Coturnix japonica: one gene and its partners. The protein of the gene in region 3 binds, or shares a complex with, the protein of the main gene of each other region. Links are inferred from orthologs where the notes say so. Each region holds a gene or a part of one and is shown on either strand. Other genes may lie near its edges.

Region 1 (10,827 bases), on a different chromosome or scaffold from region 3:
TACTGCTGTTGCTGCTTTTATCTTTTGCAGGATCCTGCTTTAAAAAGCCTGAGCAGTAATGGTCCTTTAGCTGCGTTCTGACAAACCTTCTCACCCATGATAAGTTCAGGAAATAGCAGTGTGAGATTTCAGTCCTGGCCACATGCATGTCATCGCCTCCATGCCTGAGGCTGGAGAGCACCCATACTTGTGCAGCACTCAGGGTACAGAGCAAGGCGTGCGAGTTAGCAACACTGGCACTTCCCTAACTGGGAAATGCAGTGGAGAAATGTCACCATATACAAGCAAAACAGGGAAGAAAACAGATGTTGTGAGTGCCCTGAACTGAGGTGGGCTTGTAAGAAATCTGGCAATGTGTACAAAGGGTTTGCAAGTTGACCCCGAACTTGTAAAATACCATTAAACAATGATGAAGTTCCCTCCAGAAAAACACTGGAAGCCTCTAACTGCAGATACAGGAGTATCTCCTGGGGAGATTGTTTTCTACATGGTGCTACTGGACAGCACGCTCAGCACTGAGAACTCCAGCACAGAGAACTCAGAGATAGGGCTGAAATGTGTTTTAAAGCTTATTTATACTGTGTGTTCAGCAGTTCCACGTAGCAAACACAGCAGTGCTGTGCTGCCTTACCTGCCTCTCGCTGACTCGCAGCGGGCCGAACACCGCGCGCTGGATCAGCTTAGCGACCAGCATCAGGACACAGCACGCCGTGTTCACCAGCACCTGCACGGAAACAAAGCAGTCAGCGACGGATCCTTCTGCCCCGCTCCGAGAGGAGCCCAACAGAGGCTGCTTTGTGCGCCGCGCAGCTCTGATGAAACGTAACCCTGCCCTCCGTACGACACGGGCCGATCGCTCATCTCGCTTTCTAGAAACGCGAACCCCTCCCGGCAGAACGCCCGGCAAACAAAGCTGCCGCTGCCCGAGGAGCCGCTCACCCGGCCCGGCACGTTCTGGCGCTAAGGGCCTCCATGTCGGCACGCGGAGCAAGACTATGGCCCCCAGAGCACCACGGCCCCCAGAGCACCACGGCCCCCGTCGGCCCGGCTCACCCAGACGCAGAGGCTGTCGGACAGCAGGTAGTACGCCACGTCCAGGGCCCGCGGCCCGCCCGCCCGCTGCTCGCCGGCCGCGCTGAGGGCGCGCTGAGCGCTGAAGGCGGCGGCCAACAGGGCCAGGCCGCTGAGCGCCGCGTACGTGCGCAGGCTGGGCCAGGGGAAGCGCTCCAGGAACAGGAGCGGCATCGCGGAGCCCCGCGGCCGCCGCCGCCTCTCGGCCCCGCTTCCTGCGGCCCTTCCGCCCGCCGGCGCCGCCCCTCGGCCCGCACCGCCCCGCGCTGAGTCACCGGGCGGGACTCCGGCAGCGCGGCCCGCGCTCCTTCGGCGCCCAGAGCTGCGGCGCGGCCCTGCGGCCTTGGGCGGGGTTACGGCGGCCCCGCTCCCGGGTAACAGCGAGAGAACGGAGCGCCGGGCGCACGGTGCGGGCCGGCTGGGCTGTCGGAACGCTGCAACAAGAGCCAGGTGCTCGCACGGCTGCCCGTGAACGGAGAGGCACCGTGCCTGGAGCTGCTGCCTGCACACCGCGCTGCTATAGCGCCTACAGTCAGTCCTGGAGCTACATAAAATATCCAGAATCACTAAGTTGGAATAGACTCTGAGATCACGGAGCCCAACCATCCACATCCCTCAGTGCCGCTCCTCTCCAGCACCTCCAGGCACTGGCTGCACCACCTCCCCCAGCAGCTTTCAGCATCTGCCGTGTACTTCCAAAGTTTCAGTCGCATTCTTCCAACTAGAAGACAACTACAGGAAGAACAAACTCCACAAAAGACAACCAGTCGGTTCCATCTCGTTTAATGTCGTACAAAAAAAACTGGTGAGTATTACAATGGAAAGTGATAAAATCACTGACATCACGCTGCCATCCTGCTACCTAAACAGCTGAGATTCACTTCTCTATTCATACAAGAGAATCTTAGTGGCCTTCGGGAAAGGAACAAAAATGAAATCCTCGAGTCAACACATTCTTTTTTCTACATCATAAAGCTGTGCTCACAGAGACGGCTTCTTCAATCAGATTCCTCAGGTGTTGGACAGGAACTCAGTTGTAAATAAAGTTGAACCTAAAATTGGAAGAGTTACACCAAGTGAGAGACTTCTATTCCATTTAATTAACTGACATTCTGGAACATGAACAGGCAAACGTTTTTATTCCTGAGCAGCCTCCACCTGACACAGCAAAAGTGATTTATTTTGCTTTGCCTTAAGGCCCGGGCTCCCAGAACCACAGTGCAAGCAAACACAACGTACCTGCTCAAAAGCTGAGGAAGGCTGGAAATAATGGGTCCGTATCCTGGTGCATTGTCATAGAGCTCAAACAACGGTGCAGCTACAAGCTTGTAATTTTTGGGGACTGCAAACAAAGCTACCAATAAATAAAGCTGGTTAGTATTAAATGAAAAATATCACCAAGCATTCAGGCAAGGGTACTCCCAACAGATCTCAAAGCAAGATCATGTAGCACTAGACTACCAAAGTAGGTTTATTCCTTTCAAGCTTAATTGCAGGGCTGTGCACACGATGTAGGAGCAGGAATGGGACTTTACTGGGAACCTGTGTTCAAACAACCACCCGACTTCAAAACTGATACCAACATTTATTTTTATAATGATTAACTGTAAGCAAATGAACCACAAGAATATGAAAACAAACCTGCAGCCACATTTCCTTGCATGAAATACATGCATTGATAGTTTGAGAAATAAATTGCTCTGTTGCAAACAAACACTTACCCTTTTCTTGAAGCTGGACTAAGAAAAGCTTCTTGTGTTCTTTTGGTTTAGTAATGTGAGCCGGGATGTAGGGGTACTGGAAGAAAAAAAAAAGATGCTTGAACAGAGCTTTGAAAGTACTGTAGGCACCAATTCTTATTCTCAGCTAAACCAGCCTGACAAGACAGAAATGCACAACAGCAAACTGAGCAAGTGTTCTCAGCATTTAGAAATAGAGGGGACTATTCACAGGGCGTGAGCATAAGTGCTGCAAAAGTGACCACTGTGGTTAAAACGGGAACTTAAATGGAGTGCCTAGCTCAGCACAGGGCAGGGTAGATAGGTGTAAGGAGGCAGAGGGAGCTTCCAGAAGAAAAACTTTGTAGTTTGTCTTCAGTCAAAGAAAGAAGACTGAATAGCTTAACAAAAGCCCCCAAGAACTAATGGCTCATGCAGCAAGCACTCCAAAAGCCCAAGTGGCTCCTTCAAGGCTTTTGGAAAAACAAATTATATTTAAGAAAATGAAAGTCAACGTAAGTACTCACCTGTGGAGGTTCAAAGTTTGGCCTCCACCAGTTACCAATGCAGTCATCAATCACCCAGTCCTGTTGGACGCCATCCTGACGGCCCAGGATCTATCAAATACAGCTACAGTCAGAACACTAAATACTCCGAGCAATACTGTAGAAAGTGCATTCTGGCAGCATGAAGAGTTGCTCTAATAAGGGTATGATGTAGTCCAGAGCTATTCTGGAATAGTTTTTAATGTTTGGTTGCTTTTACAACGTGGCTTTTTTTGTTTTCATAAAATCCTCACCTGACAGGACATTCTGAATTGCACACTACATTCAGCCAAACTGAGTGCCATAAGACCAATGAGAAGAAGGAAATGCAGTGACACTACCTGACAGCAATCGTTTTGATAAAGTTGTTAAGAACGTGGGGAAAACTGGCTCAAAAACAAGTTGTCATCCTCACACTGTGCTCAGCTGTGTATCCTGCTGCACATCTGATGACAGCCCAAAACACAAGTTGCACATGAACACAGGACTCGGGGGGAAGACAGACCACTGGGTTACACTCTCATGAGGATAAGCGAGAGCTTACTGTAATACTTTGTTGTTAGTGACCTGAGAACATTTTACAGCATTAAAATGACAAGTGACGAGGAGACTGCTGCAGTTCTTTGGCTATTCTACTAACTCTAACATCATTCAACATTCCACAACATTCTAGTATTGCGACATAACAAAAGAAAACAGACCTCTGTCATTAAGCGTTTGAGCCCTTCTACCTCATCTTCTCCTGGATTGAGTTCACCACCAGGTCTGTTAAAATAATCAATGATTAAAGCTAGAGTTATGTTTTACAGTGTTAGCAGACTTTCACAGGTAAGTTTGGACACATTTCCATGCTTGCAGCTACAAATTCACTCAAGGTTTTTGCATTTGAGGTTCTAAATCTAACCATGCCCAATCTGAAGACAATAGGGTAGATTTCACCAAGACCATCTCTAATGGCTGCTACGTGCCCCTTAAAAAACAAAACAAAGCAAAACAGGCCAACAATAATAACTTCAGTGGGATGAAGTATAACAATATACATAATAATGATAGAGACACTTAGAAGGTTAAGTTTTAACAATAATAGAAAAGCACTGAAGTTGAAGAAGGGGTTGTAAACACCAGCTGTGCTTGTTCTAATCTCAAAAGCAGTACTTAGTGACGTGTGCAGGAAGCATAAAACTCAAGTGGAGAATTATCCTGCATTTCATGCAAGGATAATGAGAAAAATGAAGATACATTCTCGTCATAGTTGTTTGCAAAGGCAAACAATGTGCCTATTTCATCTACATACATGCCCCATATCAAAAAAGAATCTGGATATAGAGATAATTTTACTCCTCACCTGAGACCAAACACTGCAAATGTTAAAAACATAAAACCAAGAATACAAGGAGAATCACCTGTCCCAAGTCGAACCATTTTAAAATAAGAAAACAAGCGTGACCACCACTATAATCATATGACCAAAACTTCCTTCCAGTTGTGATAACACTGGAATAATTGAAGCACTTCCCTCACAAATTGAGATTCCTGTCCCTCTTATACCCAGCTGACCCAGCAGTTTGTAAATTCATAACCACTACTCATTTCCCAGGGTTTGCCATTTTTGCAGCCGTAGCATAAGTGTATTTAAGCATAACAGCTTGCACAGTGTAAGACCAAACCCTGACTACCAGCAGGGCTTCCAACAGGAACCTACCAGAGTGCAACAAAGATTTCCAGAGACTTTAGAACCAAGGCAACTCTCCACTACCCACGAGTAGAGTCAGATAAATACATTTTAGAGGGAAATTTCATCATTTTAAAAACAGTTCTCACAAACCATGCGCTTGGAACAAATGAATCTCATTAAAAACACCAAGCAGAGTTGGCCACATCTTACTTTGCGATATGTACATTTCAAGAGGTCTGTAATTTTCTGGTTGGACTAAGAAGGTGCTTTCAAGAAGCAGGCACTTACAGCTTGAAAAACGTCGTCCCCAGCTGCAGTAATAACACGTGGGGCAGCCGGTGCTCGTGCACTATCAGAACTCCTTCCACTGTCCGCCTCATGCCAATCTTGTCAAACTCTTCTCTCATGCGCTGGAACCGAGCAGCCACTGAACTGTCCTTCTCATAAAGGGGCTCCTTTGTGCCAAATGTGTAATTGGTGAGAGGATACCTAAAGGGGAAAAAAAGTATTACTACATAATAAGAAAGCTAAATTGACACCTCTAGCACGCAGTGTTCACCCTGCAGCTGAGCCTTCTGTACTCGAGGGAGCAGAAACTCACTCATTGCAAAGGACTACAAGGTCTGGGTTGCATGCTGCACTGCACACCCCATGCCATGCCAAGGGCTGCACCATGGCTCATGAGGGCAGGAAGTCATGCCGGTGGGATACGTTGTCATGGTGCCAACCCAGAAACAGGCAAACACAACCAGAAGCATCTACAGCTACTCTGCAGCCACCTGCTTTGACTCCGCAGCCTGGAGAAAAGGGAGAGGAAGCTCCTCTCTTGTCCCTTTAAGCCTTCACTAAGAGCAGCCCTGCAGAGGTCTTGGGGCTTCTGATGGATGAAAAATGAGACATGAGACAGTGTGCTGCAGCCTGGAAAGGCAAGAGAAAGGCTGCATCAACTGAGGGATGGCAACACGAAGAGAAAAGGGACTGTCCCCTTTGCTCTGTCCTCACGAGACCCCACCTGGAGAATTTGTGTCCCCCAGCATAGGAAGGGTACGGAGCTGTTGTAGCAGGTCCATAGGGAGAGTGATTTTTTACACAGGCAGCGATAAGATGAAGTGAATTAAGACTAAAAGAGGGAACATTCTTTACTCAGCGGCCGCCCAGAGTTCGGGCTGCTCCATCCCCGATGGTGGCCGAGCAGCGGATGGTGCCTGTGCAGCCTTTGATGGCGGGGCCGTGTGTGTCCCCCCGGCTGGTTGTTCCCGCAGCGCTGTGAGGCCCCTTTTCTCCCCGCCGTTCCGGACTCTCACTATTGCTATCACTATCACTATTGCTATCACTATCACTATCACTATCACTATCACTATCACTATCACTGTCACTATCACTATCACGCACCGCTCCCCTCCCGCTCCGACCCCCGAGCGGTTCCAGCCGGTTCCTCCCGCCCCCAGCGCGGCCCTCACAGGTTGATGGTCCTCTCCAAGGTCAGCGGCTTAGTCTGCTGGATGTACTTGTTCCCGAACTGGTTCACCCCGCGGGGCCAGCCGGTCTGCGAGCGGTTGGGCGGCACCACGGACATGGCGGGAGGCGGCGGGAAGTCGATCCGCCATACAACTCCCGGCGGGCCAAGCGGCCCCGCTCTGCCGGAAGCGCCCGCCTTCCACTTCCGACGGCGCCCGCCGCTGAGTCGTCCCTCCTGGCCAATCGTAGGGCGCCCTACCCCTCTCCCCGCCCCCCACGCTCTCTGATTGGCTCGGCACACGCAGGGACGGCTGGGATTGGTAGTTCGGTGTGCGGCGGCGGCATGGGGGCCAAGCGGCGCGGAGCGGCGGGCGGGCGCGGTGTGGAGAAGCGCGGGCGGCGGGAGGTGGAGGCCGAGCTGTGTGCAGCCATCGGTGATGTGGAGCTACGGGAGCGGGCGGCAGCGGCCTGGGACGGCGGGGAGCCGCTCCGGCACGGTACGGGATGGGCCCTAGGGGGGGTCTAGCGGCTTTCATCCTACTGCCGCCTGCCGAACTGACCGCCCGCTTTGTCCCCGCAGAGGCCGTAGCGGTGGAGCGGGCCCCGTTCCGGCACGGCGTGTTGCGCGGCCTCTTGGCCAGCCCGGCATTCGCGGCGGCGCTGGGCGATGAGCTGCTGGGCCTGGGATACAGGGAGAGACGGAACGACCTGCTGACAGTGCACCAGGTGGGACGGGACGGGAGCGGGGCTGAGCGACAGGGAGCACAGAGTGCACTGAGCGACATAGAGCACAGAGTGCACTGAGCGACATAGAGCACAGAGTGCACTGAGCGACATAGAGCACAGAGTGCACTGAGCGACATAGAGCACAGAGTGCGCACTGCCTGCAGCCCGCAGTGCCACAGCAACACCACTCTGGGACACCCCAGCGATGGTTGACACCCCCCCCCTCCCCGTTGAGCTGTGCCGTTGCCTCATTGCTCTTTCAGAGCGCAGATGTTCCCCAATGGCCACCCTGACCCTCTGACAGAACACGAGGCCATCGCTCTCACCTTATCACTGTCCCCTGGGAGCAGAGGCCAACCCCATCCTCACCACAACCTCCTTTTAGGGGTTGCAGAGCCGTGAGGTCTCCTTCAGCACCTTCTTCAATGCTTTTCTCCATCTCTCCCCATGCTGCCGCAGTCCGAGGAGCTGGGGGCCAGGCCGGAGCCCCACGTCAGTGCACTGAGGTAAGGCAGCAGGGTCCACGGGGCAGCACATCCTGGGCCTGCCTCACCCTGTGCTTTGCTCCCCAGGCGGGCGCTGAGCGGGACCCTGCGAGCGTGGCTGGAGGCTGTTACCCACATTGAGCTGGAGCCCTCCATTGACATCTCCTGCGCCAAGTATGAGAGCACAGGTCAGTCTGCCCACCAGCCTCCTGACTCCACATGGCACCACCCAAACCCCGAGTCTGAGAGCAGCGTCCTAGCGCTCCCTCAGCTCTGGAGCTTGGGGCTGAGCCCACCACCCAGTGAACCACAGCCTGTCCCTAACGCCTCCTGACCCTTCCCCATTACTGTGGTCATGCTGCTTGCAGCTGCAGCAGGGCCCAAGGCTGGTATTCCAACCCTGGATGGTGGCTGTTCCATCCAGGCTATCTCACCCCTTGCATGCACGTTGCTATGGCAGGCAAGGAACACTTGTACTGCTTGTAAGTCTTCTATGCAACCAACTGCTCAATGCTCAGGGATTCCCTTTCCCTCCACTGCAGCACAAACATCTTGCAGGGCAGCTGTGTATCAAAAAGCAGACCTTGGTTAATCCACCCACTGTGGTGGGTGACAGGAATTGTATTTCCACATCTTCAGAGTAGGTTAATTACAGTAAAATCCCACAGAAATTAACCTTGTGGTGTTAGTGCTGCCCTTCCAAGAACTGCATTTTCGCCTCTCAGCATGTTCTTTCTTGTACAGTTGCAGGGAGAAAGCTGAGAAGCAACCACTGAAATTAATCATAGGTATACTCAGCACAGCTTTACTGTAGCAAACTGTGTGTTCTTGCAGATGTACTGCTGTGCCATGATGATGAGCTGGAAGGCCGGAGAATTGCTTTCATCCTGTACCTCGTGCCGCCATGGGAGAAAAGTGACGGAGGGACACTGGACCTGTTCAGCACAGATGGTAAGAGCTCAGTGTTAGTTGACTGAAAGAGATGACCTTTGTGCACCCACCCCTCACAGCAGTTCTATGAAGAGTATTTCCTTCATTCAGAACTGATATGTAGATAAAACTTGCACCTTGCAGAGGGGGTTGTAAGTCTTTGTAGACAAAGCCACAAAGCCAGTGGGTGACAGCAGATTTAACAAAGAGGGGAATCCTTTTTTTTTCCAAGAAGGCGGGGTAGAAGCGATGCCAATAACTGTGCTTGGGACTTAAAAGGGACTAAGTAATTCCCTTTCCAACAACAGAAGTCCTCTGATTTCTCATCAAGCCCTGAGCTCCAGCCCTTATGCTGAAGTATCCCACCAGTTAGCCATGAAGTCAGAACCATCAGCTGCTAGTAAGTTCAGTATCTTAACCAGAGTATGTTTTCTTCCTCCTCAGAACACTTTCAGCCACAGCAAATCGTGAAGTCATTGATGCCTTCATGGAACACGCTTGTTTTCTTTGAAGTGTCTCCAGTCTCTTTCCACCAGGCAAGGAGCTGCCTTTTTTCATGTCTTTATTCTTGTCTCTGTTGTGGCTATTTGTTCTTTGTGCTGTTACAGCCCTGGGTGGAAGGAGAAAAGGGGAAGGGAGAAGCATGAGCAGTCAGAATAGATACTTATGCTAAGTGCTGTGCATTAAAAGCTTATAACTTTAGGGAAGACAGAAGCTGGCAAAGCCAACTTTAAGCTGTCAGCCTAACTCCGTCATCTTGGGGGAAAGAAAATCCTACCATTACTTCCTAGCATAGAATAGGGAGCATAGAATAAAAGGTCAGGTGGGGATTTTGGATATCTGCAAGGGACTCGAGCATCAACATTTGTTTTAGCTCTCTCTCTATGAACAGAGAATAATCCAGCTTCTTGTAGCCCTTGGCTGCCTCCTCTCTGAAAGCAGTAGGTTCTCATGAGGGATGAGTCTGTGTAACCAATTACAGCTACTCCTTTCATGTTATGTATTCTAAACTGACGTGCTGCTGATGTTGTTCCAGGTATCAGAGATTCTGTCGGAGGAGAAGTGCCGCATGTCAGTGAGCGGCTGGTTTCATGGCCCCCCAATAGAGCGACCTGCACGCTACATCGAAGCTCCCTTGCCCAGGAGCCCACACATCCCCTACGATGTGAGTAGCCAGTGTCCACTGAACTGCATTTACCTTTCTTTCATGTCTCTCAAATACCTGTTCAGGACACGTCAGTGGTTGGAGATGCTTTAAACATTAGCTTATCCAAGTCTCCTTTTTGATTCCTGTCCATAAATTTGTAGATAGTTTCCCTCCTATATATCTCTCTATATATATTTTATTCTGTCCCCTGTGCATGACAACAGTAGTATAGAGAGGTCAGCAATGGAGTGGGTGGGTGGAATGTAGTACTATGGGCAGCTGGGCAAAGAGGAATTGGGGAAATGCTTTTACTTTTGCAAATATGTTGTTCACATCCATTTCCTTTCCAGCATGAAATCTTGTATAAGTGGGTCAACGTAGTTTATTTGGACATGGACTCCCAAGCTCAAATCCAGGAGGAATTTGAGGAGCGATCAGAAATTCTCCTGAAAGATTTTCTTAAGGTGAGCTTTGTGCTTCCTTGCAATGTGGTTACAGGGCTGGTAGTGTCCTCATGTCATGCATGACCTCCCGAAGTCCCTTCCAGCCTCAGCCGTTCTGTGTTTCTGTGGATAGATAACCACTGCCTGCCTGTACACTGCTGTGCAGGGATACATCAAAACCTATAAGCTTTGCTTCAGCATTCTCATTTCCTGCTGGAAACAAAGCAGAAGGATGGAATCACATCATCCTTCCCATGATAACCAGAGTGTTCTTATCTAAGCTGCAAGAGCTTAGGGGAACTCACCTGTATGTGAAACAAACAACTTGCTGTGACTTTGGCTTACTTGAATGGCTGTGTTTCTCAAGGCTGATTTACCCCTGGTTTGCTGAGCATCCATATCTCAGCGAAATTGCATTCTCACCCAGCCAACAGTTAAGTAACATTTCATACCTACCAGGTCATGGCCATTAAAAATTCACAGTGCCCACCCAGACTATGCTCTTCTATTCTGCAGTCACTGGGAGACAGGCAAGTTAAAGAAAACATTGAGAATGCCTTATATGAGAGTACAGGATGGCTGCTTGCACTACACTGAGGGAGACCTGGGGGCTAAGGGTTAATGTTTCA
Region 2 (10,827 bases), about 31 Mb from region 3:
CAATGGGACACCAATGGGACACCAATGGGAATGGAATGGGGACACATGCAGCGATCGGGCGGGGTCTGTACATAAGGAGCGTGGCTTAAACCAAATGGGGCGGGGTCTAAACAGGGGGCGGGGTCTGGGCAATGCCCTGAGTGCATTCGCTTTGGGGTGGGGGCGGGATTAAGGGGAGGGGGCGTATCCACGAGTTCCCAATGATGAATGCAGGCGGTGGCAGCAGCGGAGCTTTATTGTATTGACGGGGACACGCGTGGGGCTCCCGCAGGGCTCAGTCTTCTGGGCTCTTCGGGGTTCCCATGGGCACCGCCGCACTGTTCATGTTCCCCTCCAATGCTGCAGGGTCCTGGGCTGTAACCACAGGGAGATGGGGGCTGTGCCGCACAGCACCTCCATCCCCATCTATCCCCCTACCACCCCCATCCCATCCTAGTCCCACCCCATCTCCACTCCACCCCGTCCTCATGTCCTCACCTGTTCTCCCACAGCAGCGCTTCCAACACCGACACACCACCACTACCACGATGGCCACAGCAATGAAGGCGGCGGTGAAGGCGCACACCAACACCACCGTATCTGGCACTGACTCTTCGGGGACTCCTACAACATGATCCCAAATGAGGAGGACCCTGTGATCACATCCCAGCCCTAGGACACCCCAAAGGTGCCAAAGCCTCATAGGAGCCCCATAGCTTCCTGATGGAGACATGGGGTGGGGGATGGGGACACCACAGTGTGACAGGGCAGGGGATGGGGATACCCCAGTAATGGGACACGGAGCAGAGGATGGGGGCACCCCAATGATGGGACATGGGGGCACCCCATGGACTGGTGATGGGGTCACCACAACAATGTGACAGGGCAGGGGATGGGGATATCCCAGTAATGGGACACGGAGCAGTGGATGGGGATACCCCATGGATTGGCGATGGGGACGCCCCAGTGATGGAACATAGGCAGGGGATGGGGACACCCCAATGATGGAACATGGGGACACCCCATGGACTGCTGATGGGGACACTCCAAGGATGGGACATGGTGAGTGGGAGGACCCCCATTAAACCGGATTGGATAATGAATGGCATTGGGGACTTCATGATATGGGGACACTCACGTGGCACTGCTGTTGTCACCCCAGAGCCAATGGGGAACACAGGGGAGTTGGTGGCCATGGCGAGGCGTGGGGTCAGTGCTCAGGGTGCCGTGACACTGTCCTGCTCTGTGTCTGGGGGCACAGGGATGTCACTGGCCCCAGCCCTGCCCTGATCCCGTCCCCAATGCTGTCCTTGAGCCCCCACAGTGGCTGCCCCGTTGGTGTCACACTGGTGTGTGTGGGAGGGGAGGGGGAGAGGGAATAGGAGGCTGGGGGCAGCTATAGGGCATGTATAGGGAGGCTATAGGGTGGACTGAGATATGCCTGTAAGGCAAAGGTCCAGGGCAGCTACAGGCAGCTGTAGGACAATTATAGGGTATGTATGTAATTATAGGGTGGCTATAGGGCACAGGTTCAGAGCACCTATAGGGTGGAGTGTGGGGCAGTTAGAAAACATGCAGTAGGGCAGCTGTAGGGCAAAAGTTTAGGGCAGCTATAGGTTGGAGTGGAGGGGATCTATAGGACACGCTACGGAGCATCTATAGGGCGGGCAGTGATGCAGCTATAGGGCAGGGGTCCAGGCTGGTTATGGGGCATACTGCGGAACCTCTATGGGGGAAGCTATGGGGCAGGATGAGTGCAGTGCATCGCTGAGAGCAGCCCCACCAGAAGCAGCCCCCCCCCTCCCCAGACCCCCCACGCCCCTTTGCCGGGCAGCACGAGGTCCCGCCCCCCTTTGTCCCTATCCCACCTCCCCCCTCCCCCAATCCGGGGGTCCCCTCGCCCCTCACCGGTAGCGTCGCGGCGCCGCTCGGAGCAGCGGAACGGCTCCGGCACCGCCCGTTTGGCGCCGGTCCCGGTGATGCCGCTGCTGCACCGGGCGGGGCCGCGGAGCAAAACGGAGCTGCCAGGACCTGCCAGGGGCTGCCCCGCCCAGATGTGCCCCGCCTCCCCCCCCAACCCCCCCATCCAGATGTGACTCACCCAACTGTGCCCGTAAGGATCGGGGGGGTGGGGGAGGCATTCAGCCCCCGGTTGGGGTTGGGGGGCTCCGGGATCACTTGCAGCTCGACCATTTGGTGCGTTATTATCTTTAAGGACCCTTTCAACGCAACGGTTCTTTGATCTTTAAGGACCTTTCCAACAGCACCCAACCCAACCCAACCAATCAAAGGGTCTGTCATCTCTATAGACCCTTCCAACCCAACTATCATATGGTTCTGTGATCTTTAAGGACCTTTCCAACCCAACTACCCCACAGTGCTATGATCTTAAAGGACCCTTCCAACCCAACCATCTTATGTCTCTGGATTTTAAGGACCTTCGCAACAACATCTATGGTTCTGTGATCATTTAATGACTTTCAACCCAACCACTCCACAGTGTAATTCTCTTAAAGGACCCTTCCACCACCATCTTATGTCTTGATGATATTATAAGGACCCTTACACAACCACCAATATTCCTTTGATCCAATAAGGACCTTTCACAAACATCTAATGCTCTGTGATCTTTAAGGAACTTTCCAACCAACTCCCCAGTGTATGATTAAAGGACTTCCAACGCAACATCTTATGTCAGTCTGTGATATTTAAGGACTTTCCAACCAAACCTCATATTACTAGTGATTAGGACCCTTCCACCACCATCCTATGTCTGTGATCCTTAAGGACGACTTCCAGACACAACCATCCTATGGCTTTAGTGACCTATAAGGACCCTTCCAACCCAACCATTCTATGCCTCTGTGACCTTTAAGGACCCTTCCAACCCAACCATCCCACAGCCCTATGATCTTAAAGGACCCTTCCAACCCAACCATCTTATGTCTCTGTGATCTTAAAGGACCTTTCCAACCCAACCATCCCACAGTCCTATGAACTTAAAGGACCTTTCCAACCCAACCTATTTCCCATTAGGATCCCATTTGGATAATGGGACTTGGTTGGGGATAATGGGATCTTATGGGGGTTAATAGGATCCAGCTGAGATAAGAGATCTCAGTGGGGTTAATGGAGTCCCATTGACATAATGAGACCCAACCGGGACAATGAGATCACGGTGGAGATAATGGGATCCTACTGGAGTCAATGGGATCCCAGAGTGGTTATAGGATAATAATGGGATCTCATTGGAAACAATGGGATCCCAGAGTGATTATAGGATCCCACCTGCTATAATGGGATCTCATTGGAAACAATGGGGCAATGGCATCCAACGAGGGATAATTGAGTCACTGTGGGGTTAATGGGATCCCAATGGGATAATAGGATCCCAGTGTGGTTACAGCGCCCCTCTGGCATAAGGGGATCCCAGTGGGGTTAATGGGGTCCCAGTGGGGTTAATGGGGTCCCAATGGGGTTAATGGGGTCCCAGGGGTGTTAATGGGATCCCAGTGGGGTTAATGGGATCGCAGTGGGGTTAATGGGATTCCAATGAGGTTAATGGGATCCCAATGGGGTAAATGGGATCCCAGTGGGGTTAATGGGATCACAATGGGGTAAATGGGATCCCAGTGGGGTAAATGGGATCCCAGTGGGGTTAACGAGATTGCAGTGGGGTTAATGGAATCACATTGGGGTGTTAATGCGATCCCAGGGGTGTTAATGGGATCCCAGTGGGGTTAATGGGATCCCAATGGGGTAAATGGGATCCCAGTGGGGTTAATGGATCCCAGTGGGGTTAATGGGATCCCAGGGGTGTTAATGGGATCCCAGTGGGGTTAATGGGATCACAATGGGGTAAATGGGATCCCAGTGGGGTTAATGGATCCCAATGGGGTTAATGGGATCCCAGGGGTGTTAATGGGATCCCAGTGGGGTTAATGGGATCACAATGGGGTAAATGGGATCCCAGTGGGGTTAATGGGATCACAGTGTGGTTAATGGTCTCCCAGTGGGGTTAATGGGATCCCAATGGGGTTAATTGGGATTCCAGTGGGGTTAATGGGATCCCAGTGGGGTTAATGGGATCCCAGTGGGGTTAATGGGATCCCAATGGGGTAAATGGGATCCCAGTGGGGTTAATGGGATCGCAGTGGGGTTAATGGGATCCCAGGGGTGTTAATGCAATCCCAGGGGTGTTAATGGGATCCCAGTGGGGTTAATGGGATCCCAGTGGGGTTAATGGGTTCACAATGGGGTTAATGGGATTCCAGTGGGGTAAATGAGATCACAGTGGGGTTAATGGGATCCCAATGGGGTTAATGGGATTCCAATGGGGTTAATGGGATCCCAATGGGGTTAATGGGATCCCAGTGGGGTTAATGGGATCACAATGGGGTTAATGGGATCCCAGTGGGGTTAATGGAATCACAATGGGGTTAATGGGATCGCAGGGGGGTAAATGGGATTCCAATGAGGTTAATGGGATCCCATTGAGGTTAATGGGATCGCAGTGGGGTTAATGGGATCGCAGTGGGGTTAATGGGATCACAGTGTGGTTAATGGGATCACAATGGGGTTAATGGGATCCCAGTGGGGTAAATGGGATCACAATGGGGTTAATGGGATCCCAGTGGCGTAAATGGGATCCCAATGGGGTTAATGGGATCCCAGTGTGGTTAATGGGATCCCAGTGTGGTTAATGGGCTCACAGTGTGGTTAATGGGATCCCAATGGGGTTAATGGGATTCCAGTGGGGTTAATGGGATCACAATGGGGTTAATGGGATCCCAGTGGAGTTAATGGGATTCAAATGAGGTTAATGGGATCCCAGTGGGGTTAATGGAATCACAATGGGGTTAATGGGATCACAGTGGGGTTAATAGGATCGCAGGGGGGTTAATGGGATCACATTGGGGTGATTTGACCGGAACTTTGTTTCCGGGAGGGAGCGCTATTGGCGTAACACCACCGAACAGGAAATTAAGAGCGGAACTCATTTCCTTGCGGGGCGGAACTTCCCGTTTCGAAGTTTCCGGGGGGAACACATTTCGCGTCGCACCGCCGCGCTCCGGTACCGGCGCGTAGGCCCCAAAGATGGCGGCGGGAGGAGGAGGAGGGCGGCCCTGAGAGCGGCGGCTGCGGCCATGGAGGGCGGCGGGGCCCAACCCAGCTTACAGCTGGTGTACCAAGCCGTGCAGGCCCTTTACCACGACCCCGACCCCAGCGGCAAGGAGCGGGCCAGCTGCTGGCTGGGCGAGCTGCAGCGCTCGGTGCGGGGAGGGGGCAGCACGTGGAGGGGGGGTGGGTGGGGAGTTGGAGCTGGGGGGGCGGCGGTTCTGGGAGGTGAGAGGGGCGGGGAGCGGCGGGGAGCGGCACCGGGGGGTCCGGTGATCACACAGGGATGGCCCGGTGTCCTCATAGGGGAGACAGGCTGGAAAGCTGGGCTTGGGTGAACGTAATGAGGTTCAGCACGGCAAAGTGTTTGCATTTGGGCTGGAAGAACCCCAGGCACTACAGGCTGGGAGGAGCGGTCCTTAAGGACCTGGGGGTCCTGATGGACGAGAGACTCAACATGAGCCAGCAGTGCGCTCTGGCAGCTCGGAAAGCAAATGGGATCCTGGGCTCCATCAGGAGAGGGGTGGTCAGCAGGGATAGGGAGGTGATCGTCCCTCTCTACTCGGCTCTTGTGAAGCCCCATCTGTTGTACTGTGTCCAGGTGTGGAGCCCTCAGTACAAGAAAGACATGGAGATTATGGAAAGGGTCCAGAGGAGGGACAGGAAGATGATCAGGGGGCTGGAGCACCTCCCCTATGAGGACAGGCTGAGGGAGTTGGGTTTGTTCAGCCTGGAGAAGAGAAGGTTGCGGGGTGACCTCATTGCAGCCTTTCAATACCTGAAGGGAACTTACTCCCAGGAGTAAGTAAACTCTTGGAAAGGGCTGACAATAGCAGGACACGGGGAAATGGTTTTAAGTTAAAAGAGGGAAGATTTAGGTTGGATGTTAGGGGGAAGTTCTTCACTAGGAGAGTGGTTAGGCCCTGGAACAGGCTGCCCAGGGAGGTTGTGGATGCCCCGTCCTTGGAGATGTTCAAGACCAGGTTGGACGGGGCCCTGGGCAACCTGATCTAGTAAAGGTGTATGTTTGGTGGCCCTGCCAGGCAGGGGGGTTTGATCTACATGATCCTTGAGGTCCCTTCCAGCCTGGGTCATTCTGTGATCTGTGAGACTCGGTGCTGCCGGGAGTGTTCCGGATCCCTCCTAAGAGCTCCCTGGTGCTCCCCAGGGATCCTCTGTGCTCTCAGCGTGGCCGTGGGGTGTCACGGTGCCCTCCAGGAGTGGCTCGGTGTCCACCAGGGCTTCCTTCATTCCCCCTGCAGGGTTTCTGGTGCCCCTCAGTGGGTCCCGATGCCCTCCAGGCGCTCTTAGTATGGCTCTGATGCCCTGAGGAGTGTCCTGGTGCCCTCCAAGAGCTCCCCAGTATCCCCCAATTGATCCCCAGTGCTCCTGGTACAATCCTGATGGTGCTCAGTGCTTCCGTGGTGACCCCAGAAGGTCCCCTGAGCTCCTGATACAGCCTTAGTGTCCCCCAGGAGCTCCTGGAGTGGCTCTGGTGCCTTCCAAGAGGTCCTTGATTCCCTTTTGGACACTCCCTCTGCTCCGGGAATGGCTCTGTAGCCCCTCAGGAGTGTCTTGGTCCTCGTGGTTGGCAGCAATGGAGCCGTGCAGAGGTTGAGCTGCAGAGCACATGGAGCTGTGGGCTTTAGGGAGGTGGAAAACCCAAATGCCTTCGCTGTCCTCCTGCCTCACAGGTGTCCCATGGATGTAACCAAGCTCCAAGTGTTTTGTGGATGCTGCTGTGCATAGAGCTGTGAGCACGGTTGGTTTTTAGTGATGGCTTAGTGCAGTGTGGTTGTGCTTTGAGGTGGATTTTTGGCTTAGTGATAGATAGGAGCCAGGCAGGGCTCGTGTTGATGGCTCATTCTGATAACGGTGTTCCTTGGCTCTATTCCTAAAGCTAACGGAATGAGAATATGGAAGTGCAAGGTAGAAGGGTAACCCCTAATTAACCTTAAGAAACCTTTGGCCGTGGTATTTGTTCAGGTTAGGGGCTTCATTAGGGCCTTGGTCTTTATTGGAGCGCCCATCTTGGTTGTTGTGTTTGTCATCACCTTCAACACCCGGCCTTTGCAGCCCAAAGTCATTTTGGAAGCCCAGGGTGGGATTGGGAGGTAGAAGAAATCCTCACACAGGCTGTGGAAGGAGCTGAGTGTGGGGAAAGGGAGGAACGAGCCTTCATTTTCAGTATGCAGTCGGGGTTTAGGGTTAAGATTTTTAGTTTAGGATTAGAGTTATCACTTTAGGATTAGTGTGTTAGGGTTTGCATTGAGAAGGTTTGGAGCAAGGTGGGCTGAAGGCCCCTGCCAACCCCAGACCACTGAGGGGCTGCAGGAGCCCCCCTTGCTTGAACCATTCCCCAATCCCATGATGGATCCACCTCTTCCCAGCCTCACTTCTCATCGGTTAAACCCTTTGGGACTGTGTCTGGTGCATGCAGTGATGGGAACTAATGGGAGCTGTTGGGGCTGAGGGAAAGAAAGGTGGATTTCAGAGGAACAAAGCAATTTCACTGAAACAAAAACTGGCGCTCCAGTTGGGTGCCACCATCAGCCTCAGCCCCCATGTCCAGTGTTCAGTAGACCAATATTTGGTGACGGGGAGTTCATCGTGTGGCTAATGGTGTTGGTGCAGGGAATGTAGAGGTGTGTTTGCATCTTTAATACTCTGCCTTCACCCACAGGTTCACGCCTGGGAGATCTCAGACCAGCTCCTGCAGATCCGGCAGGATGTGGAGTCGTGCTACTTTGCAGCACAGACGATGAAGATGAAGATCCAGACCTCATTCTACGAGCTCCCCACCGACTCACACGCGTCCCTGCGTGATTCTTTGCTGTCCCACATCCAGAACTTGAAGGACCTCTCGCCAGTCATCGTCACCCAGGTAGGGGGAGGCTCTGGGGCTGCTCCCAGCAGGGTTAGGGCTTCCCCTGGAGCTGATTTTTGCCACCAAAGCTCTTCCCGAGGTCTTCTTGGCTGCTTTTCCTCCATTGTAGAGCAAGGAGAGCCAAGCACAGGATGCCAAGCACAGGATACTGTTCCCTGTCTCCATCTGATAACTGTATTTAAACTGATCAATGCTTTGTCCCCATTGATTTGATTTCTGTATCCCCTGCGGACACTGTTGTGTTCTGGGAAACCCCTCCCATCCCATTATCCCAAATCTCAGCGGTGCCGTGCGGCCCAGCCAAGTCTTTAAGTAACCCAGCACCAAGCGTGGGGCACCGAGCCTGCATCAGCTGTGCAGCAGGGCCATTGGGCTGCCAAACCTGAGCTCATTTTTCCCCCCAGTACTATTGGAACACAGACAGCAATCTGAAGGAAGGGAGCCCGCAGAGCTCCTCCTGCCAGCTGTCTGGGAATGCCCCTCCTGAGCTGGGGTGGAGGTGCTCAGTGAGATGGGATGGCTGGGGAGCAGAGGGGCCACAAACATCCCACAATGAGGGATGTTTGAGGGTTTTGCATCTCCACTCTAAGCTGTGTTTTCTCTCCTTCGCAGCTCGCTTTAGCAATAGCAGACCTGGCCCTGCAGATGGCTTCTTGGAAGGGCTGCGTGCAGACGCTGGTCGAAAAGTAAGTGATGGTTTGTGTCTGCTGGTGGACAGACCTGTGCGATCTGAAAAGACACATGGCAGCAAATGGGGCAGCAATGGGGGTGTTTCTGTGGCTCAGTCCGTAAAGAAGAGCTTCTCAGATCGCCTCTGAGTAGAGGTGGAATTCCCATCCATCACTCCACATGTGACAGCGCTTAGGATTCCACATCTACGTTTCTGCCCCCTGCCCACGTGCTCTCTATGCTCCGGTTGCTTCCAGGTACAGCAATGATGTCACCTCACTGCCCTTCCTGCTGGAGATCCTGACGGTGCTGCCCGAGGAGGTGCACAGCCGCTCGCTGCGCATCGGGGCCAACCGCCGCACTGAGATCATCGAGGACTTGGCCTACTACTCCAGCACTGTTGTCTCACTGCTGGTAAGGGCATGTGCTGCAGTGCATGGGGCATGTTCTCCATTGGGTCTTCTCCCAGTTTCCCTTCCACCCCAAACAGTTCTGGGATAGGAGGTCCCATCCACCTCAGACAGTTTTGGGATTGGATTTCCTTTCCACACCAAACCATTCTGGGATAGAGGGTCCCCTTGGCCCCAGACCATTGCAGGATTGAAGGTCCTAAACCATTAAGTGATTTGTCTTCTGGTTCTCAGTGTTTGAGTACAGATAAATGTAATTAATCTCATGGCTGAGTCCAGAGATCTTCACTGGGCTGGGCTGAAGTGCAGAACCTGCCTTTGGAAATTTATGAGCCCAGTGAGGATCTCTGGGAGCCCAGCATGACCTTTTTGGTGCCTTAGGATCCTAGAATCGTTAAATCTTAGAATACCCCAAAGTTGGAAGGGACCCGTGAGGATTGTTGACTCCAATTGGTTCTGCATGGCAGCACCCAGAACCCAAACCATGCGTCCCTTGGGGGACACGAAGGTCACCCCGCAGTCTCCAGGATGCCTGTCTTTCCCCAACCTCATTTCTCAAATCATGTGAGTGCTGCAAGTGGTTTTTCTTGTCTTGCCATAGATGACGTGTGTGGAGAAAGCAGGCAATGATGAGAAGATGCTCATCAAAATCTTCCGGTGCCTGGGGAGCTGGTTCAACCTGGGGGTCCTGGACAGCACCTTCATGGCCAACAGCAAGCTGCTGTCGCTCCTTTTTGAGGTGTTGGTGAGTATCCCTCCTGTTGTGGTGCTCTTAAGTCCATATGGTGCTGCTTCTCTTCCTATAACTCCATCCCCTGTGTTGGATGGGAATGTTCTGGGCTCCCAATTTTGGGGGTGGCGTGGCTGAGTAATGCCATTTCCAGCCTGTCCGGGGATCACCACCACGGCCAGGTTTGCAGCTTGGTCAGCGGTTTGCCATAGTCATGAAATGAAGTTTCGGGGTTGCTTTTGGTTTGAGGAGTTGTCTGTATTCCTTGGGTAGGAGAAAAATGTATTTTCTTCATCTATGTTCTTCTTTGAACAAACTGCGTTTGCTTAGCACTGAAATCAATGCTGAAAATCAGGTTTTCAGCAGAAAATTTAATTCCCTTGCTGACACTTTTATTGCTTAATTCCAAAGGGGTTTTGTGCTTTTATGCACATGGCAGAGCACCAGCAGCAAAGGGATTCTGACGTTTTCTGGAGGTGCAGCCCCACGTTGTATCGCTTCCTCCCCTCGTTAACAGGAAGCTCATTTGCATCTGTTCCATGGTGCAAATTAAACAAAGGACAAATGCAAACAAGAGCTCCTGTTCAGCAGAAGGAGCAGACAACACTCAATGCACGTCCTGCAGTGCTCTGGGCTGCCCCGTGTATGGCACAACATACAGATCTATCTCATTCGCCCAAACCCATCTTCCCTTTTTCCTCCTCCTCCTTGCAGCAACAAGACAAGACCTCCTCCAACCTGCACGAGGCCGCCTCAGACTGCGTCTGCTCGGCGCTCTATGCCATTGAGAATGTGGAGACCAACTTGCCCCTGGCCCTGCAGCTCTTCCAGGGAGTCCTCACCCTTGAGAGTGCCTACCACATGGCCGTGGCACGGGAGGACCTGGACAAGTGAGTGACTGTGTTTTGAGCAGCAGAAGTTGGCTGCTCTGCTCTCTGATGTGGCTATTTTGGGGATTTGCTGCATCTGTGTTGTTTTCCTTTCTCACCTTTGTGTTCTGCTCATGGTTCTGCGGTTCCAGAAATCTCCTACCT
Region 3 (8,329 bases):
AGTCCAAACACTTCTTGAAGTCCATCAGCTTGAGACTGTGGCCTCTTCCTGGGCCCACAGCATCCAGCTAGACACTCAGAGAAGAACTTCCCAACATCTCCAATGAATACTTATCAGGATAGGAAAGGTTTGTTTTTTCCTCAGTAGTGTGGAAGAAGGTGGACAGATGGACTGAAGTGTTGTGCCAAAGTGCTCCGTGTTGTTACAAGTAACAAGAACATCATCAAGCCAGACGTGGTCCTTTTTAAATCTCCACACACAGTGCCTGGATACACTCTAGTAAATGTTTCTTCAGGTGATATTCTGAACCTCTCCAAGGGGCTTTCCAAGGAGTGCTTGGTTTGTTGGTTAGGAAAGCTCTCACAGCTGAGAACAATCCCAGCTGTAGGTTTTTTTGTTTGTTAACACATATAACAGCACAAGAGGCTGTTGTATGTATGTATAATGTGTGTGTGTGCCACAAACTGGATGAGAACTCCAGGGACAACCTGAGCATCTCCATGCCCAAAGTACAGCAGGACTCAGCAGGCTGAGCCAGTGTGAGGGCTGAAGCAGAAACGTGGTCATGAGAGAGACCTTGGTAGCACAGCCTGGTCTGGGAGACGAGTCCTAATGAAGTTTGTTGGGGACAGCAAGTGACCAAATGACTGCAAGCCTTCCAGACCCATCTCTGAACAAGAGAGCACACAGATGAGCAGGTGTGTTCCCTCAGCTCTTCTTTCACACTAGCTTCCATCTGATAATACAGCTGGAGCTTTCTTCCTTTCAAAAGCAGGAGGAAAAAGGGGCCCTGACAGAGATATGCATAAGACAGCAGCCCATACTTTAAGCCTGCGTGATCCACAGCATACCCATTGCTGTGGCTCTCTGATTTTTCACCTCTTTTCTGTCAGGAAAAGACCAACCTTTCCTTTCAAAGAGAACTATAACGCAAGAGCACCAAAGCACAACACGAAGCAGGGATGCTCAGGGCCACAGATGCTGATCCAGGAGCACTCCCACTCACGGAAAAGAGCATTTTCAATCCACCTGTGGTCTTTAACACTCTTTCAACCCGGTCTAGAGAAACACAAACTTCTCGTTGTCAAAAGGCAACTTTATTTTCGGATGAGAAACACCACACACAATGGAGAACACACTGTGTTCCGGGATCGAGGGCGATCCTCGCACCTCGCGCCGCGACCTGGCAGGGGCGCTGAGGGGGAACGGCGGGGCTCTGAGGAGCGGCCCCGTACTTCGCCGTGTTCCGAGGCGGGCTCGGGCCGCTTTCCCTGCACTCTGAAGGGGCGGGCAGGGCGGGGCGGCCCCCCAAGAAGCGGCAGCCGCCGGAAGTTCCCCCTCCTGGCTCGGAAGTGACGCCGCGTGCACCTTCCCCCTCCCGGCAGCGGCGGCGGAGCCGGGCGCGGCTGGCGGTCGGCCCGAGGCGCGGCCGGGCGGGATCATGGCGGACGGCGTGGACCACATCGATATCTACGCCGATGTGGGCGAGGAGTTCAACCAGGTACGGGTCGGAGCGGCCCGGCTCCTCCTCCCCTCGCTTTCCTTTCCTTCTTCACCCGCCTTCGCCGCCGCGCCGCCTGCAGGGCCCTGTGCGCGGGGCCGGGCCGCGCCGCGCCGCCATTGTTCGGGCGCCCCGCCGCAGGGCGGGACGGAACGGGACGGAGCGAGGCCGCGCCTCAGGCCCGGCCCGCGGGGGATCGGGGCTGGGCCGGGCGGGGAGCGGCGGCGCTCGGGGGCGGGAGGGAAGGAGGGAAGGAGGCAGGGAGGCAGACAGGCCGCGGGCGGGCGCCTTCCCTCCCGCTCTCTGTGCCGCCACAGCCGTCCCGCCCGGGACAGCGGCCCCTTCCCGGCCATTGTTCGCAGCGCGGGAGGAGCGGGGGAGCGCAGCCTCGTGCTGCTGGCAGCAATGCCGCCCGCCGGCTGTGCCCGCAATGCTCGGGCTCTTGGTGAGCCGAGGGGATTTATTTGTGTGAGGAAGTGGCGGTGTAACGCGCACAACTTCCTGCACTGCCGTCTGATTTCTCTGGTTTCTTTTTCACTCGCCTTTCCCCAAAGCCGCCTTCCTCCCTTCCCACCGAAAGGCGATGTTGTCGTCGGGTTTGTGGAACATCTGTTCCATGTGCGGGTGCCGCACTTCTCTGGCTGCACTGCCCTAAAACAGGTCCCATAGTGCTGCCTGTGTGGAGTGGGAGCAGGCGGCAGGGTTGGGATACGCAGCTCATGTTACCAGCAACTTTATTTCTTTCAGTATTTGTCGGTAAATTAATTTAGATCGATAATCTCCTGAAGGTATAGCATATAGCTACGCCATCCCTCGTGAGCAGATGACAGAGACATGTGCAGGTTTCTCCCTGACAGCTGAAGACCCATTAGATGAATTTACGTGGGGGTGATGTACAGCACAAATACCATTCAGCATAAAATATAATCTTTGAGGCCTCTGCCAGCCCAAGCTGTTCTCTGATTCTATCTCAGCAGCTTCTGTAGCAGCTTTGGTTTTGTGTTAGTCAGTTCCACGTAAAAAAGTGATAACAAACCAAGTTCTTCAGAAAAGATAGTTTGAATCCAGTAGTACTTGTGTAAATTCGTATAGGGGGCAGGCCTCGAAGTGGTGCAGTTTGTGGCTGTAACCTCAGTGAAGACAGATTTTTTACTTGCTTTAATTTTTGCAAGACATTTCTGTTTCTTCTTTTCTAAGCCTGAGTTCTGGGGCTTTCATGTTGTCTCAGAACCTACTCAGCTGAACTGTATTTCATTAAAATAGAAAGTTGGACTGGCAAAGATTGGCACCTCTGCACTTTCCATTTCCTTCTGCAGAGCAGGAACAAAAGCCAATTGTTACCACCTACAGCGCTGCTACCTCTAATTCTGATGCCATTGTGATGAGTCCTCTTGAAACCTCTATTCAGGGTTTCTGATTTGAAGCTGACAGCTTGAATTAATAGGAGAGGACTTACAGTTCAGCATGGCTGCGGAGGGGTGAAGATTACAATTCTCTAATGCTGTAGGGGGAAAATGATGGCAATTTGATGGTAATTTATGTAACAGGTGTTTTATGCAATGCTGTATTTCTAACGAAAATTTGTTTTATATGTAAAACAACATACTGCTCTTGAGTTGTGTGGTGCTGTGTCCGCTTGCTAGTGTTAGTTGGACTGCAGGAGCCCCTTCCATTAGTTTTGTTGGTAGCAGGGACTGGAAACATGCTGTGCAGCTTTTTTCATTCTTCCAAATACGGTATAACTGTATTTATTAGTAAAGCTGGGACAGCACTTTTGTGTTTGTAGGAAATAAATCTCTTAGGATTCGTGGTTGAGTGAGCCCTTCGTTGCTCTGTCCTGCTCTGAGCCTCAATGTGCTCACTATTGGAGCTCTTTAGAATCATAGAATTACCCAGGTTGGAAAAGACCTTAAAGATCATCAAGTCCAACCGCAGCCTAACCAGTACCCTAACTCTAACAACCCTCTGCTAAATCATATCCCTGAGCACCACATCCAAACGGCTCTTAAACACATCCAGGGATGGCGATTCAACCACCTCCCTGGGGAGCCTATTCCAGTGCTTAACTACCCTCTCTGTAAAGAAGTGCTTCATAACATCCAACCTAAACTTGCCCTGGTGCAACTTGAGGCCATTTGGGGATTTGTTTTCTGCCTGCTTCTATGAGGTGGGAGGATGTTCCACCTGATTAGCACTAGATGAAGTCCAGGTTACAAGGCTGAAGTAAAAACTCCAGCCCCCAGGTTTTCAGGCTGGCTGAACTGAATGAAAACTGAGACCTGTCTTGCAGCCAGCTGCAGGTTGCAAAGAACTGGCTGGCTGGACTTGAAGTCACATCTTTGCAGTGAAAGCACAACTTTCCCTTCCCATCTGGCGCTCATCAAAACCGTATGTGCCTGTGTTGCCTCTTTCATTAACCTACTGTTCATCATAACTGTGTCCTTTGTCCTTGTGTCTAATGCTTTACTCAGTTTGTCTCCCCTCACTTGTATTTAAATTGGTTTTAATTCCCATTTCATTTCCCCCTCCCCTTCTTTTCTTGATAATTTGTCTTCTCAGCTGACTTCCCCATCCAGCAGTGTTTTGTATTTACGCAGTGTCATGTTCTGAACCAACAGTCCCATAACCGCAGTATTTTTGCTCGCATCACTTGTGACCTGTACGAAGTATGTGTGGTGTGGTGTGTTCTGCTTTGACCATTTCCATGCAGGTCTATGCTGTGCATTATCTGCATACAGATGGCCGAAGCATCCTGTTGGTGGCAGAAGATCGCGGTAAGATTAGAGGTGCTTTAGAAAGTGTTAAGAGTGTGTTTTTGTACTTGGGAGTACTGAGTGTCACGGCACAATAGTCTTGGAGAAAGCAGCCTAGAGGCTTCTTACATGGGAACCACAAGGGCTGTGAAGTCTTAGGAACATGTTACTCTCTCGACTTTGTGTCTGGAACACAAAGAAAAATACTTTTTGTTTAATAAATGATCATTATTGGTTGTGTAAAAGTAACAACTAAAAACAGCCGTTACATCAAGAAAGCAGTTGCTGCCTTGGAGGGGCCGGGCATGTTGTGACATGATACATTTTTACTCAGAAGGGCAGTACTGTCTTGGTTGTGACTCTTTAAACGCTCTTTAAAAAGAGTGTGAGATGCCTTACTTCTATGTATGGCTGGTTTTCCTTGGTTGTCTTGGTCTACTAACCAAGAGATCTACTGAAAGGGCCCTGGGTGTAAGAGATAACCTTTGTTATTTGCAAATACCACGCTGCAAAGAAAACCTGAGACCATCTCAGCTGGGGCCTGTTAGCTTTGCTACAATGCAAACAGTGACACTGCCTACACTGCCTTTATGCTTTTGGCCTTGTGTGAGTTCTTACATTAGCCAAGGAATTAGACTGCTCTGCTGCGGACGTCTGGGCCTGTTGAAGTTAATGGGAGTCTCGTGGCCTAACAAACTTGTCCACCACGGGCTGTGTGCTGTTTTGGGAACATCAAGGGTTGTTGTTTTATTCCAGTTTGTTTATGCATTCAGACAGCTAATCAAAACCAGAAAGACTTCTGCCTGTTCCTTCAACTTGTGATACTTTTTTAGGACCTGCGGATGTTTTATAAAGTGAGATTGTTAGCATCCATGTAACGTTTTTGACTGCACATACTGTAACTTTGAATTGAAATAGCAGTAAAGGACAAGGTGAAGAATTTGCTTTTTAATTATTAAGTGCTCTTCTCAGAAATTATAGAAAGATTTAAATGGGATTTCAGCTTTTAATATCTTTTTGGGAAGGTAGTTTTGCATTTGACTCTCAAATAGAACGGAGAGAAGAAGGGGATCTCAGATGAATGCACAGTTCAAAGAACTTTTAATCCCACACACACAAAAAGAGGAAAAAAAAGGACTGTTTTCCTTTGTAAGAGGAGTGGGAGAACCCAGGTATTTTTTGCCATGCACAAGTGGAAGGCTGCTAAGTTTCAAAACAAAGTATCGCTTTTAATTTATCCCTCCTGGACATGGTGGTGATGCTCCATGTGTTTGTCTTTCCTACTTCAATGTTGCAAAGTGCTGCAGGGGGTGATTAAAACACAAAATACATGGGAAGGGCTGAGGAACTGGTCGTTGAAAACAGCTCGTCTGGGGCAAGTTTTTGACAGTGTATCTTTTCAATGCCCTTTGTATTCACTGAAGCCGAGACTGAGTAACACCGACAGTGAAACTTCAGTCCTGATTTTCCAGAGCAAACGTTGTTTGATTTCAGATAGGGATCTTGTTAAAGTGTGATGTGTGGAAACACTGCTGCTCTGATTTGCGTATAGGAGGAGTGGCACTGATGGTGCTGACTGTCTGTAAGGATGTTTATCTGTAAGAGTGTGAATGACGATGACCAGAAATCCTTTCACGCTCCATGGCTTTTACTTAAGGAAGTTGGAAGATGTCAAAACCTGCACTGCTCTGCTGATTTTCTGTGCTGTGATGGTGATCTGAAAGCCTATGGAACAGAAACTCAATCCAGCTCGGAGGAGTTTCTTGCCAGTAAGGAAGCACAGCGTAGCTGCAGACTCTCACCTGCTCCTGTTGGTGTTTTGGCAGTGCTGACCTCAACCTTCTCAGAGACAGAGGTCAGCATACGTCTGCTGTAAAACTGGTGGCTGCTTGTTTGGCTTTGGCCTCCTAGGCTGCATTCTTCTTTCCTAAAGTCATCATCTACACACAGAAATGGCAAGAATTGCTGCGTGTTTAGCAGAGGATTTCCTTAGTTGCCTTGTGACATCACTCTTGATCTTACCGTCAGATAGCATGTTTCAGCCTGTCCCAGGCAGTTCTTTGGCTTTAGTTTCGTTAATTACAATGATATGAGAAATCAGCTGTAGGTGGAGAACTGAACAGAATGAGTGAAAACACAAAACTTTATTAACTCAGTGATGATAAACTCACTTGGGAAAACATTAATTTTTTGTTGAAGTTCAGTGTTGTGTATTGGGCCAGTGCAGTTCAAACCTACTTGAGTGACAAAGCCAAAAATTGCGTATCTGGTTTTATTTATTCCAGTGATATCTTCTCTAAGAGCAGCAGCAGCGAATAATGAATGTTTTCATATTTTCAAGAGAGCTGTTCATCTGAGGATGGCTGTGGATATAGTTGGTTTTCAGCCAAGATTGCTCGCTTTGCAGCTTGTTTGCTGTGGTGGAATCCACACTGATCCTCTCTAGTCACAGTATCTGCTATTCTGAGTTACGCTGTCGACGATGCTTGTGTGGGTTTCTAGATAGAGAATCACAAGATAACAGCCACTGAAATATCTCTGATAAAAACCTGGTGAGGCGGTTTCTGTTCTGTATCATTGTGGATGAGTCCAGGAATGCTCTGAGAATGTTTGAAGTTCCAACCTTTGCTTATGGTGAAGCAAATTTTGCATGTCAATATAAAGGCTCTCCTAAGCTTTTTCCGTAACATTTCAGGGAACAACAGTGGTCTGCCTCCCTGTCAGTAGAAACTGTGTTGATGCCTCTTTTGAGATAAATTGGGCTGCTTTATCATAAGTGATTGCTTGGATAGCAGCATCCCAGTGTGGGAATTGATCACTGTAGAATATCACAGAATCACAGAATGGTTTGGATTGCAAAGGACCTTCAAACAAACAAACCAGATCCAAGTCCCTGCCATGGGCAGGGCTGCCACCCACCAACTCAGGCTGCCCAGGGCCCCATCCAGCCTGGCCTTGAGCGCCTCCAGGGATGGGGAACTGCAGCTCTGCTGAGCAGTCCGTGTCAATGCCTCACCATGCTGAATGTGGAGAATTTCTTCTTTATATCTAGTCTAAACCTGCCACCTTATGGTTTAAAGCCATTACCCCTTGTCTTAACACTACACTCCTTGCTGAAGTGTCCCTCCCCACCTTTCTTGTAGGCCCCCTTCAGGTACTGGAGGGCTCCAATGGAGTATCCCTGGAGTCTGTTCTCCAAGCTAAACAAGCCCAGATCCCTCAGCCTTCCTCCATAGGAGAGGTGTTCCAGCCCTCTGATTGTCCTCATGGCCTCCTCAGGACCGCTGAATGATGAATGGAAGTGTATGAAATTAAATGTGTCATGGGAAATGTTGGGTTTTTCCTTTTTCTTTTCCTTTTTTTTTCTTTTTTTCTTTTTCTTTTTTTTTTTTTTTTCCTTTCCCCTGATGCATTGCTTTACATGGTCTGCCTCAGGCTAAACTTTCTCTGGTCTTTTGGACCAAATACTTCTTCCTGTCTTACAGTTCAAAGGCATCCAAAGGACCACTGGTTGATTTTTGACTCATCTGTTCCCATTTCACAGGTAGTATGTGGTTGTCGAGCATATGAAGCAGAGGTTTTGTAAATAAACTCATGATTCTGTTCCCTCTGAAAGGAATCCAGTTCACTTGGACAAAACTGTGCTGTAAACTGTACCAACCTGAGGGATGGGGTGATTCACTCTGAAATCCCATGACAGTCTTTTCAACCAGAGTGTTCCAGAGGCTGGCTTGATGTTGTTGAATAGTTCCTTTGTAGCCCAGGAATAAATAAATGTGTAATGCACACAAACCCAACAGTTTATTAAATTTAATGACATAGAGTTCCATTCTTTCTCTCCATGAACAAGGAGATAAAAATCAAATTAGGAATGCAGAAGAAATCTGAAATACAGAATTTCATATCAATTCAGACCACTTTGGGTTTGATTTTTTCCTTCTACCAAATATTTTCATGACAAAAATCACTAGCTGCTATTAGCCTGTTGCTTTGCACATTGTTCATACTTGCTCACATCCGTAGTTGTGGGAATAGAGCTCGCGTTTTTTAGTTTCCTGCTTATATTACAAGGTAA

Evidence for each region.
Region 1: the proteins of CPSF6 (region 3) and NUDT21 are in contact, whole or in part, in a crystal structure (PDB 3P5T), measured with the Homo sapiens proteins. The link is inferred for Coturnix japonica from reciprocal best matches to the Homo sapiens genes CPSF6 and NUDT21. Residues at the interface, in NP_008938.2 of Homo sapiens: Trp90, Trp91, Thr92, Thr93, Asp94, Glu95, Lys113, Phe114, Glu116, Asn117, Arg118, Ala119, Asn120, Gly121, Gln122, Ser123; in NP_008937.1 of Homo sapiens: Pro151, Asn152, Glu154, Pro156, Tyr158, Tyr160, Pro162, Ala163, His164, Ile165, Thr166, Lys167.
Region 2: the proteins of CPSF6 (region 3) and TNPO3 are in contact, whole or in part, in a crystal structure (PDB 6GX9), measured with the Homo sapiens proteins. The link is inferred for Coturnix japonica from reciprocal best matches to the Homo sapiens genes CPSF6 and TNPO3. Residues at the interface, in NP_008938.2 of Homo sapiens: Tyr521, Arg522, Glu523, Arg524, Ser525, Glu527, Arg528; in NP_036602.1 of Homo sapiens: Arg620, Asn656, Arg657, Glu660, Arg661, Arg664, Arg667, Phe668, Arg671, Ser698, Cys699, Tyr702, Ile706, Asp709, Asp747, Asp750, Asp751, Arg754, Arg758, Gln761, Cys793, Arg797.

What each region holds. Positions count from the first base shown.
Region 1 is NC_029526.1:519,334-530,160, forward strand, and holds NUDT21 (cleavage and polyadenylation specificity factor subunit 5), read right to left. Parts: upstream 6,658-10,827; 5' UTR 6,586-6,657; coding exon 6,470-6,585; intron 5,499-6,469; coding exon 5,298-5,498; intron 4,100-5,297; coding exon 4,036-4,099; intron 3,407-4,035; coding exon 3,317-3,406; intron 2,869-3,316; coding exon 2,793-2,868; intron 2,426-2,792; coding exon 2,311-2,425; intron 2,124-2,310; coding exon 2,102-2,123; 3' UTR 1,839-2,101; downstream 1-1,838. Other genes in the region: E3 ubiquitin-protein ligase AMFR, read right to left, coding at 632-724, 1,054-1,245; prolyl 3-hydroxylase OGFOD1, read left to right, coding at 6,811-6,964, 7,048-7,193, 7,653-7,699, 7,766-7,866, 8,513-8,629, 9,053-9,144, 9,645-9,773, 10,106-10,219. UniProt on the Homo sapiens protein: Component of the cleavage factor Im (CFIm) complex that functions as an activator of the pre-mRNA 3'-end cleavage and polyadenylation processing required for the maturation of pre-mRNA into functional mRNAs.
Region 2 is NC_029516.1:731,171-741,997, reverse strand, and holds the start of TNPO3 (transportin-3), read left to right. Parts: upstream 1-4,998; 5' UTR 4,999-5,126; coding exon 5,127-5,252; intron 5,253-7,780; coding exon 7,781-7,981; intron 7,982-8,596; coding exon 8,597-8,670; intron 8,671-8,910; coding exon 8,911-9,067; intron 9,068-9,664; coding exon 9,665-9,808; intron 9,809-10,507; coding exon 10,508-10,683; intron 10,684-10,827. UniProt on the Homo sapiens protein: Importin, which transports target proteins into the nucleus. Specifically mediates the nuclear import of splicing factor serine/arginine (SR) proteins, such as RBM4, SFRS1 and SFRS2, by recognizing phosphorylated SR domains.
Region 3 is NC_029516.1:32,102,873-32,111,201, forward strand, and holds the start of CPSF6 (cleavage and polyadenylation specificity factor subunit 6), read left to right. Parts: upstream 1-1,352; 5' UTR 1,353-1,441; coding exon 1,442-1,501; intron 1,502-8,329. UniProt on the Homo sapiens protein: Component of the cleavage factor Im (CFIm) complex that functions as an activator of the pre-mRNA 3'-end cleavage and polyadenylation processing required for the maturation of pre-mRNA into functional mRNAs.